Linked DNA regions of Coturnix japonica. The main gene of each other region encodes a partner of the protein of the gene in region 2 in a complex. Links are inferred from orthologs where the notes say so. Each region holds a gene or a part of one and is shown on either strand. Other genes may lie near its edges.

What was found.
Region 1: SYNCRIP (region 2) and IGF2BP1 share a complex: the UniProt entries of both Homo sapiens proteins name them as parts of the coding region determinant (CRD)-mediated complex. The link is inferred for Coturnix japonica from reciprocal best matches to the Homo sapiens genes SYNCRIP and IGF2BP1.
Region 3: SYNCRIP (region 2) and GAPDH share a complex: the UniProt entries of both Homo sapiens proteins name them as parts of the GAIT complex. The link is inferred for Coturnix japonica from reciprocal best matches to the Homo sapiens genes SYNCRIP and GAPDH.

Annotation. Positions count from the first base shown.
Region 1 is NC_029542.1:3,037,064-3,040,804, reverse strand, and holds the start of IGF2BP1 (insulin-like growth factor 2 mRNA-binding protein 1), read left to right. Parts: upstream 1-882; 5' UTR 883-1,369; coding exon 1,370-1,544; intron 1,545-2,540; coding exon 2,541-2,601; intron 2,602-3,741. UniProt on the Homo sapiens protein: RNA-binding factor that recruits target transcripts to cytoplasmic protein-RNA complexes (mRNPs). This transcript 'caging' into mRNPs allows mRNA transport and transient storage.
Region 2 is NC_029518.1:70,014,693-70,018,433, reverse strand, and holds the start of SYNCRIP (heterogeneous nuclear ribonucleoprotein Q), read right to left. Parts: upstream 2,599-3,741; 5' UTR 2,394-2,598; intron 1,498-2,393; exon of another isoform or gene 1,475-1,497; intron 1,216-1,474; 5' UTR 1,204-1,215; coding exon 1,056-1,203; intron 180-1,055; coding exon 61-179; intron 1-60. UniProt on the Homo sapiens protein: Heterogenous nuclear ribonucleoprotein (hnRNP) implicated in mRNA processing mechanisms. Component of the CRD-mediated complex that promotes MYC mRNA stability.
Region 3 is NC_029516.1:69,304,199-69,307,939, reverse strand, and holds the start of GAPDH (glyceraldehyde-3-phosphate dehydrogenase), read right to left. Parts: upstream 2,629-3,741; 5' UTR 2,505-2,628; intron 2,133-2,504; 5' UTR 2,115-2,132; coding exon 2,092-2,114; intron 1,478-2,091; coding exon 1,378-1,477; intron 1,165-1,377; coding exon 1,058-1,164; intron 974-1,057; coding exon 883-973; intron 776-882; coding exon 660-775; intron 559-659; coding exon 477-558; intron 308-476; coding exon 156-307; intron 43-155; coding exon 1-42. UniProt on the Homo sapiens protein: Has both glyceraldehyde-3-phosphate dehydrogenase and nitrosylase activities, thereby playing a role in glycolysis and nuclear functions, respectively.

The DNA.
Region 1 (3,741 bases), on a different chromosome or scaffold from region 2:
GGTGATGGGGGGGGGGGGGGTCGCTGCTATTTTCAATCCATCTCGAACCTAAAAATAAAAAGCCTCCAGAAAAGGCGAAGAGGGAAAGAGGAGGGAGGGTTTCTAGGGACGGGGGGGATGGGGGGCTGCTTCTCTCTGCCGACGGGACGCGTCGTCTCCCCCCCCCCCCCCCCCCCTGTGTCTCGGGGGGAGCGATCCCGCTGCACCGTGGGGCCCTTTTGTGCCAGGAGGAGCCTTCCCCCTTCCCCGAAGGCTTCCGCAGGGCTGCACATGAAGGGCTTAAAACAATACCGGGGACAATAGCCCTCCCCGGGGGCTCCTCCGCTCACCCCGCCGGGTCGGGCCGTTCCCCTGCAGCCCCGCTCCCCTGGCGCCAGGGGACCTCCCGGCCCCTTTGATGCTGAAGTTGGATTTTTTTTTTCTTCTTCTTCTTTTTTTCTTTCTTTTTTTATTTTCTTTTTTTTTCTTTTTTTTTTTTTACACCCAGAAAAATCCCATTCAGGCACCGGGGGGAAGGGGGGGTGGGGGATGGGAGAGATGTAGGGGGAGGGGCGCGATGGGGGCTGGAGGCTGCACAGATGGGAAAGTGCCTCCGACGGGACGGGACGGGCGGGGCCCGAAGGGTGGAGTGGGGGGGTGATGAGAAGGGGGGGATGGTGGTGGTGGTAGTGAAGAGAACACGGAGTGGGTGCGCTCCCCGATCCGAAGAGGGGTGTGTGTGTGTGTATGTGTGGAGGTAAATAACGTAGTATTTAAATTAAAATAAATAATTAAGTGGAAGCTGCCCCCTCCCCCCCCCCTCCCCTTCCCTCCCACCCCCATCGTCCGGCCCCTCCCCCCCGGGGGCTGGGCCCTCCTGCATCACCACGTGGCTTCCTCCCGCAAACATTTTCACTCATTTTCCAGGTCGGTTTTATTTAGAGGCGGTGCCCGGCTGCCCAAAGGCGTCCGGTGACACTCCGGTGCCGCTCCGCCGCTTTGGGGGCCCCCGCAGCCGGCGCCGCCACCGCCTCCTTCCCCGCAGCCGTCGCCTATTGCAGCCACCCCCCTCTTCTTTAGGACCCCCCACCTCTAACAGCAGCAGCCGCCGCCGCGCCCCTCTACGAGGAAAACTCCACCAAACGACCAAAAAAAAAAAAAAAAAAAAAAAAAACAAAAAAAACCCCACCCCGAAACAAAAAAAAAAGCAAAGGAGGGGGGAGGGAGTGTGCAAAGAAAAGGACCACCGAGCTTCAAACCCGGCTGTGGGGTGGCAGACGGCGGCTGCTGTCCGACGGTGCGGGCGTACGGTGGGAGCCCCCCCGGCAGCCGCGCTCCGAGCCCCGGCGCGCCGCCACCGCCCGCCCGCCGCCCCCCGCCGGCAGCCACCATGAACAAGCTGTATATTGGGAACCTAAATGAGAGCGTGACTCCGGCCGACTTGGAAAAAGTCTTCAACGACCATAAGATTTCTTTCAGCGGGCAGTTTTTGGTTAAGTCCGGTTATGCCTTTGTGGACTGCCCCGACGAGCAATGGGCCATGAAAGCCATCGAAACTTTTTCGGGTAAGCGGTGTCCTTCGGTTCTTTCGATCGGAGAGTTGCGGGATCCGGTCGGGATTCGGGTGGGGAATAGGGGGGGGTTCGGGCCGTTACGCTCCGTCGGGGTTTGTATCAGCGAGCGGGGCAGACCCCGCTTCTACCCCATTAACAGCGAGCACTTGGAGGGGGGAGAGAAGGAGAGGGGTCCCCACTGTTCCCAATGGCTTCGTGGGGGTTACACGGTGCCCGTCCCGGTGGTGTTCGATGCGGGGGTCCCGTCGCGACAGTGGGGTGGGACTTTGGCCATTTTGATTTCAAACTGGGTTTCCTGGGGCATGTGATGCGCAGAGGAGCGCGAAGGTCGCCATGCTGCTCGCAAGACGGAGGGGGGGGAGAGTGGGAAGGGAAGGAAGGGGGGGGGTGGAAAGAAAAGCTCCCCGGGAAACAGTGAATTTTTGAAAACGTTGGAATATTTTCCCCTCGCCTAAAGCTGCTCCCTCCGGGCTCTCCCCATTGCTGCTCCCCTCTTCTTTTCCCTTCCCTCCCCCCCCCAATTAATATATAAACCGGCGGTGTGGAAATCCGCCCCCATTTTCCAAGAGAAATCCATTCGTAGCGTGGAGTTAAACAATTTTTGAGCCCCTTTTTAATGGGGATGAGGAATGATCTGGCCGGAGTTGTTGTGAACGGCTCAAACGCGTGGAATTCGAGGGGGGAAAAAAAAATTGATCTCAATATATTCTGCCTCGTTTTCTTTCGCTCGGAGCAGAGCTGAATGAAGGACGGGATTAAATATTCCTAAGGAACATTGTTCAGACGGCGAACTCATTGCTCCGCATTAGAAGTCAGCCTTATATTTAATATAGCACACTTATGATCACACGCACACACGAAAAAGCCTTTTTTAATGCAGCTTGTAGTGATTGGAATGAAATGGGAAGTTTTACATGATAGAATGTTACCCAAAGCTTTCTGACCACCCCACCCAGATCATACAAAACAGCCACATTTTGTTTTTAGGGAAAGTGGAGCTGCATGGAAAACAGCTAGAGATTGAACACTCAGTACCTAAAAAGCAAAGGTAATACGGTGTTTTAATTACTTTTTCTTTATGTTTTATTTTTTGGAGGGGGGGAGGAGGGGGAAATAATAACGTAAGAGGAAGGAGGCAAAAAAATTATATCCAAATATGTGCATGTGGAAGGAGATATGGTGGTGGTTTGGCTTTGGGTATGGCCCAGCGAGGTGAGGAACGGCTCTGAGGATCAGCGTTCCCTTTCGTATCTTTAGTGTATTTTTAAAGGAAACTTTTCTTTGGGATTAAGTTTTGCTTCAGTTTGTTTGTTAGGAAAAAATAAGACCAACAACCCCAAAAAACAACCCTGGGTCCCGACGATTCGCCTTCCATTCACCCAAGTGATGAATGGCGTTTGGGGTTGGAATTTTCAAACTTGTGGCACTGGAAGAATTTCCCAGTGTTGCTCCATGAGAAGGACCCCAAAACCTTTTGTTATTTCCAAGTTTTTAAACACCCTCTTTGCTTATTTTGTCATTTACGGGTGAAATTTGCCTGGGATGGAGGGCGAGGGTTTAAAAACGAACATCAGTAATTAAATAAAAATGGGGCTGGTTGCGTGTTGGTGTGAGGTTTTCAGCCCGGCTGTGTGGGGTGCTGGTTTAGCTCCTTGTTGCCCCTCAACTTGTTGTTTTTTAGGGCTGGAACCCCATTTCTTCATGCTTTCCCCAGGCGTTGCGGCCCAGCTCGGCCTACCCAGCCCTCCCCATCTTCTTGGCCCTTTGTTGCTGAGGGCGCGCGGGACGCTGGGCCTGGAGGGCCCTGAGGGTTCAGGCAGTGAACTGCTGGGCCCAGGGGGGATTCACTGTTGTGTGTGGGGGTCTTTGGGTTGATCTTGATCCCTTCCCTAGAGCTGGGTGAGCTCTCCTCAGGGCCTGGTGCCCGCGCTGGGCCATGCAGCCGCTCCGCCACGTGATGGGGCGGCCGCCCCGGCGCTCAACATGGTGTAGAAGGAAACTCTTCCTTCCCCAAACTCTTGTTTTTTTTCTGCTGGCTGAGGACCCCTTTGGGGAGCCTGTGTAGACCTGGCCCCACTGGGAGGCTGTGGGGTTTGGCAGCAATCCTTTCCTTGCAGGGGGCCATGCCCCGCGGTGGAGCCGACCCTAAAGGCAGAACTCCATTTAATAATGTCCCCTGTAGGGTTTT
Region 2 (3,741 bases):
TTTGTCAGTCTACCAGCAGTTTATCCCTCACCAATTATATTCCGAATTGCTTCATGTTACCTGAACATGTGAGAGATCACTGTCTTTAAACTGCTGTAATACAGAGAGGGCTCCTTCTTCATTAAATTCCCTAAGAGCATCAATTGCTCTTTCATCTAGATCACTATGTGCAACTAGCCCTAGAGAAAAGAAAAAAAAAAATTACTAATTACATTTGGGTAGCAATCTCTGTTTCATCATATTTAACACACCTAATATACTTCAGTGTCCCCTAAACCAATTGCTGGCTAAAAGTAAGTTGCTATAACTAAGAAATCACTCAGTTCCCTAAGTTAAAATTTAAGTGCACTTTGCTTACTTTCATCCAGAAGTATTAAAATCATAAGAATTAGACTAAGAGTTAATGCATTCATGTATTTGAATTCTCATGTCACGCGGGGCAGGTTTAGTTTTGGTATCCTTAAGTTGAACTCTAAAGGATCTATCAAAAACTGACTTGGCTTGATGAGCAACGTACTGTGATGACTGGGAGGAGACTGCAAACTGCAGCACTCAAAGCAACTACAGCACCAAAATCAAGCTTTACTATGCTACTGCCATGCCTGACAGGCAGAATACAATGACAATCTATGAGCTCCAGTACCATGCCACAAAGCATCATTTACATCAGATGATGTCTACCAAGGCTTCAGTGACTTGACATTATCTACAACTACACTAAAAGCTCACAAAGCCCATATCACCTGCTCCTTCTAAGTGTCAGCTGTTGCCTATCCCAGGTAATACTATGCTTATACTCATACTTCTCTTTCCCACCACCCACCCCAAGCAGCTTGGCCCAGACTGCTCTCTGGGAAACATCATGATAAACTAAAACACTGAATGATAAAAACAAACAAGAAAACAAGCACAAAAAAACACCATGTATTTTGTTGAGACTGTAGTTCTTGTACTTCTAAAAACCACATGAAGTTGCTCAGATAGCCCAAAGACAGCAGCAGAAGCCAGTGAAATATTCTAGGACCTAGGAAGGTTTGGCAAGTTTCACTGCTTACCTGCCACGTAAATTTCGTCTAGTTTTTCAGCAACTTTCTGTGGTAAACCAGCATCAAGCAACGTCTGGAAGTGCTCAGAATGGGTAACCGCAGCAGAAGTGTCCATTGGCTCTTCAGTACCGTTCCCATTCACATGTTCAGTAGCCATGTTTCCAGATATCTGTTCAAACGCGAGAAGCAGAATCGTTAAGCTGCAAACACCTTCCAGCAGAACAATTCAAGTGACAGCACGTGCAGCAGCCCACCCAATTCTCGTAAAGAGACAGCGGAGCACTTCCCGGATACTTCCAGCTTCCAGAGCCGCACGGAATTCCTCAAAAGGAGCCTTGACACAAAGGGAAGCCCTAACGCCGCTGCCTGGCGGGGGCGGGGTGGCTCTCACTGCAGGTTTTACACAACGCAGCCAGACACTGACTCACCTCGCCCGCTGTCTCCGTAACGCGCTCCCCGAGAAGCTCCCAACAAGTTCGGGACGGAGCCCGGAGCCAGCGGCGGGGGCGTTAAGCAGCGAACCGCCGCGTTCCTTCACCACCACCACCGCCCGCCCGCCCGCCCCCCCCGCCCCCCGACCCCTCGCGGTCGCGCTCCCCTCCCGCCCGCGCCGCCGTCCGGACCGGGCCGGGCCGGCGTAGAAACAAAGCGCCCGTTCCGGCCCGCACCCTCCCACGGCGGCAGCGGCGGCCGCCATGAGCCCGCTGGAAACACGTGCTCTGCGCGCTCAGATGTCCTACAACTTCCTCCAGTGACCGACTTCCCCCTCCCCGCCGCGCTCCCGGGAGCAGGAGGAGCGGCTCCCCCCCGCCCGCGCCCCGGCCCTTCCCCACCTCTCGCCCGATTCCCCCCGGATCGCGGTTGCGACACCGCGGGCCCGATTTCACCACCGGCCCGGCCGCTCCACGCGCCTCCCGGCCGCGCCGCCGCCGCCGAGCCGCGCTTCCCCCGAAACAATGCGGGGCCGCGCCGCCAAGCCCGCGGCACCCCCGGCCCGGGCAGCCGCCACCGCGCTCCGCCCCGGGAGGCGAACGAGCCCGGCGGCTCCGGCGGCGCGGCCCGTGTCGGGTAATGAATGGCGCGGCGGGGCCGGCGGGACAATGAAGCGGAGCCACGCGTCCCGCACGGGGCCGTCCCCCCCCGCCCGCCGGGCCTACCCGCCGCCCCGGCCCGACCCGCCGCGCCCTCCGTCCGCCGCCCGAAACGGCCGCTCCGCTCCTCCGCCCGCAGCGCGGCGCCGCCCGGCAGCGCCGAGTGCCCCCCGCCCCTCGGCCCCTCCGCCGCCTCAGCCGGGCCCGGCCCCGCTCCCGGCCCCGCTCCGAGTGCAGCCCCCGGCCCGGCGCTGACCTGCGGCTGCGGGGGCGAAACGCCGTGCGAAGGGGCTCGGGGCGCGGCTGGCGGCTCGGCGTGCTGAGGAGCTGCCCCCCTTCTCCGCTCCCTCGGCGTGTCCGGACAGTGTGCTGGAGCTGGCGTAAAATGGCGGCCGCTCGAGCGCTCACGCCGCTGCTGGCACCAACCCCAGCCCCTTCCACTCGGCTCGGGGGGGCGGGGGGGGGAGCCGGGGGGGGGAAGCGAGGAGGAGGCGCCGCGCGCGCTGGCGCAGCCCCAAACCCGGGGTCTCCCAGGCAGCTCCGCAAGGGTTATCGCCTCGCCCCGCCCGACGGGCTGCGCGCGCTCCCGCCCCGCCGTCCCCTCCCTCCCCCATCGCGGCGCCGCCCCCTCCCGGCACGGCGGGAGCGCGCGGGGCTCGCGCACGCGTGGACTTGCGCGCTGCCGACAGGGGAGGAGGAGGAGGAGGCGGCTGAGGCGGCGGGACGCGCCGGGTTGTAGGACGGCGGGGCGCGGCAGGCGGCGCCTCCCGCAGCTCCGACACACCTGTGCGGGAACCGCTCGCATAGAACAGACAATAAAAGCGGTGACAAAGCGCCGCGCCACGGAGCTCCGCGGCGGGAGGGACACCAGGGGGTGAGCGGCCGTTCCCACGGTGCGCAGGTGGCACGAAGGGGAGGGCCGCGGCCGGAGGCACTTTGCAACGCCGGAGACCCCGGTTCGAATCCCCCTGTGGCGCAAGTGGTCGAAGTGCCGCTCTGCTACACAGGGCTCGAATCCCGGGGGTTGGACTCGATGATCTCTAAGGTCCCTTCCAACCCGCACCAGACTGTGAGACTGTGATAGAGACAAAGCCACGCAGACAAAGGGAGGGGAGAGCGGCGCTTTGTGTGGCTGCCGGCCAGCCCGCAGCACGGCGCCCAGCCTCCAACAGGGAGGCGCCGCTCCCCGCCCCACCTCATGGGGGCAGCGGCTCCCCACACGCGGCCGTCCCCTCATCACCGCGCTCCCCCTCTCTCCCAGCCCCGCCCGCTCCCCCAGCGGTTCCTCAGAGCGGGGATCTCCCCGAGGGCACCGCCGTTATTCGGAAAGGCGAGGCCGGGAAATGGGCTGTCAGCGGGGCCCCTCGGAGCGTGCGCTCGTTTGGCGTTTTGCTTCCTAATAACGCCGACATGGAAAGCACATCGAGCCACGTTTAGGGCGTTGTCAGATGTACGTCCCTGATGTGGGAGCCTCCTGAATTGCAGCTCCCGACAGCCCCAGCTTGCAAACCTTACCGAAGCCAACCCCATCAACTCTGCCAGATCCGCAACTCCAGAGAAAGACAAAACACAGGCAGGAAGGCAACGCTAAGTATTACTCACTT
Region 3 (3,741 bases), on a different chromosome or scaffold from region 2:
ACATTGGGGGTTGGCACACGGAAAGCCATTCCAGTAAGCTTCCTGCAAGAGATATGTCAGCAAAGAACAGTGTAAGCATGTTCTACCACAAAAGTGTTTGAGCCAGCCACACACTGGCTCCTGCCCCCCATCAGACACAGAAAGAGGACGCTCACCCATTGAGCTCAGGGATGACCTTCCCCACAGCCTTAGCAGCCCCAGTGGATGCTGGGATGATGTTCTGGGCAGCACCTCTGCCATCCCTCCACAACTTCCCAGAGGGGCCGTCCACAGTCTTCTGTGTGGCTGTGATGGCGTGCACAGTGGTCTGTGGAAAGAAGGCCCAGAAGTAAGAAAGCAGTCACTTTCCCCAGAGAAAGCACCCCCAGCACTTCCTCCCAAGCCCAATGGAAGCACTGTGTGTGAATGCTTTTTTCCCCCACACATGGAGGACCTGGGGGCAGGGTATCTTACTGAGCATCAAGCTCCAGACCTACCATAAGACCCTCCACAATGCCAAAGTTGTCATGGATGACCTTGGCCAATGGTGCCAGACAGTTGGTGGTGCATGAAGCATTGCTGGGGGAGAAAGAAGGCACATCAGCCAAGTACAACACATGTATATACGTGCAACAAGACCCGAAGAAAATTCCAGGCCAGGGAGCATTCTTCTCCCTTACCTAACAATTTTCAGGGACTTATCATATTTCTCATGGTTGACACCCATCACGAACATGGGAGCATCAGCTGAGGGGGCTGAGATAATAACACGCTTAGCACCACCCTTCAGATGAGCCTGAAAAACAAAAAAGGAAAGATTAAATTACCCAGAACGGCCCAACAGTTGAGAAGGAATACAATCCTCAGAGCACCTTTTCCCATGGGCCACAGCAGCCTACATACCCCAGCCTTCTCCATGGTGGTGAAGACACCAGTGGACTCCACAACATACTCAGCACCAGCATCTCCCCACTTGATGTTGCTGGGGTCACGCCTGAGAGGGGACAAAACCATGGGAGTTACTCTGGAGGGCACTTACTTTCATTCTCTGGAGCAGCGAGAGAAGAAAGCTACTCACTCCTGGAAGATAGTGATGGCGTTCCCATTGATCACAAGTTTCCCGTTCTCAGCCTTGACAGTGCCCTTGAAGTGTCCGTGTGTAGAATCATATTTGAACATGTAAACCTAGCAGGGAGAGAAAAGAGAAGGGTCAGGCATCCTAGATGCAAAGCTCCCACTACAATACCAGCCATCTTGTCTAACTGCTGCTCTGTATTTTGCTCTGCCCAGCTTTGCATCACTACATCTCATTTCTCTCTTAACCTATGCCAGGTTTCCAAGGGGAGCCCCGCTGAAGGTGCACGCATCGCCCAGAGGGGGCACTGCAAGACAACTCACCATGTAGTTCAGATCGATGAAGGGATCATTGATAGCAACCACTTGGACTTTGCCAGAAAGGACAGCAGCCCTGGTGACCAGGCGGCCAATACGGCCAAATCTGGGGAGAAACAGAGAGGTGGGTGAGGAGGAGCACTGAGGAACATGCTTGGTAAGGCACGGCTGAGCCTATCTGCTACTTCCCCCCAGAGCATCTGTCAGTCGCTGCCTGAATGGAATCCAACAGCAGCGGCCAAAGGCCGAGGAGCCGTGGTTAAAGATTAAGAGCGACCCCCGGGCAGGGCACCCACACCACAAAGGTCAGGCGCTAAATTTACTGAGGGCCCCGGGGATCCGGTTACTCCTCGGTGCGGTGGGAGAAGGTCACGTTCCCGGGGCACGGCCGACACACGATCCACCGGGCGACCTTTCCTCGGGTACCCACTGCCCCGGGGAGCCCCATTAGTGCGGGCAGAGCCCCCGACGGGGCACGCGGGCAGCACCGGCGCTTCCGGGGTGACTCACCCCGACCGTGCGGGGAAGTGACTCAGCACCGCCCCACGGGGCCGTTACTCCCGGTTGGGGGTTGGAGGATGGGGGGGTCTCTCCGCGGCGCCGCGGGGCCCCCCGCCCTTCAGGCGACCTTGTCTCGTGTCGTCCTCCCCCCCCCCACGGGCACGTACATCCCCGCCCGCCCCGCCCGGCGCCTCCCGTCCCGGCTCCGCACTCACTCACCCGTTGACTCCGACTTTCACCATCTCTCCCTTATAGTGTACCTGCGGGGACACGCCAACGCTCAGACGTGCGGTACCGCACGCAGCCCGCCCGCCCCATAACACCCCCCCACCGCACGCACCGGGAGCCGCCCCCCCACCCGCCATCCCTCCCTCCCTCCATCCCCACCGAGCTGTGCCCCCCGCACCTCTCCCCCCACCCCCACCGCCTCCATCTTACGCCGCCCGCCCCCGCCTTTGTGCCCCGGGCACCACGCGGTCCTGCACAGCCCCCTCCCCCCGCCGCACTCCTCGCGGTCCGACGGCCCCGACCCTACGAGGGGCTCAAGCAGACGGGAGGGCGGCCGGCTGGGTGGGTGGGTGGGTAGGGGTGGGGGGAGCCGTTCCTCCGCCCCCGTGCCCCCCGCCCGTTACCTGCTCCTAGTCAACGGCCCCGGCGCGCAGTGAGAAGGTGGCGCAGTGCCGCTCCGCCGCCCTTTATAGACACGGCGGCAGCACCCCGCGCCCCGCCCCGCCGGGCCGGCACCGAATGGCAGCGCGAGGGCCGGGCCGGGGCTACGTGCACGCACGGTGCGGGTGAAGCGGCAGCCCCCCCCCCGCTTCTCTCCCCCTCCCCCCTCGCAACAAAGGGCGGCCGTTGGGTCGAGGGTGGGCTCGGGGGGTTGGGGCCGCACTGCGGGGCTTGTACGGAGTGGGGGTGCCCTTCGGATGGGGGGTGCAGACAAAGCCCCGCGTCGGTGTCCTCGGGTGAGGCTGCGGGGTGCGGCTGCAGCACGATGCGGTGCGGCGGGTGCGGGCTGCATTAATGGCAGCACGCACGGCCGAGAGAGCGCCGTGCTGCGAGCCCGCAGCCTGCCCGCTGCCATAATCAGCCCTCGCACGTGTTGGTCACGCAGCCCCGGGCTGCCGGGGTCCCGCACCCGCTGTCACACCGGCGCTCTCAGGCCGCGCTAATAAGGAACTGCAGCATCTCTTGCGCCGTGACAGCGGATATCCTCATATCCTCCCGCCGCCTCGAGCCGCCGCCGTCCCTCTCCCAGCCCGGCACGTCTGCGCCTGGCAGCCGGGCCCGGGGTGTGGGCAAGAAGCGGTTCTTACGTGTTACGGCTGGGGCTCGTGCGGCCCAAAGAGGGGCCGTGGGATGGAGCCGTGCTGGGTTTATAGCCTCCATCCCCTGCGATGGAGCGGGTGCTCGAAGCCGGATGCCCGGCGGGAGGAGGGGGCGTGCAGGGGTGAGGTGGGCCCCGGCTCCAGCGGTGGGGACGGAGGATGCCGGGGGGAGAGGGTCCGAGCGGGGGGTCACGCAGCTCCCGTAACCCAACGCTCCTTGTACGGCTGCCATTCCCGGAGCACCGAGGGGCAGCGGCTAAGTTTAGCCCCGGCTTGAGGTTACGACCTTTTCTTAAAGGCCAGGGGAGGCGGCGGTGCGGCCCGAAGGGGGCTGCGATCGCGGGGCCGGGGGAGCCCCCCGCACGTCGCGGGGTCAGGGCCGGCAGGGAGAGCGGAGGCCCCTTGTTTGCTCGGCAAACACGGCAGCGGCCGAGGGGCAGAGTGTGGCGGGACGGAACAACGCTGCGGCCCCGGGGCGCAGATCGATGGACCCGCCGCCCATCCTCCCCCCAGCGCCGGGCTCGGGCCCAGGCCGCGGACG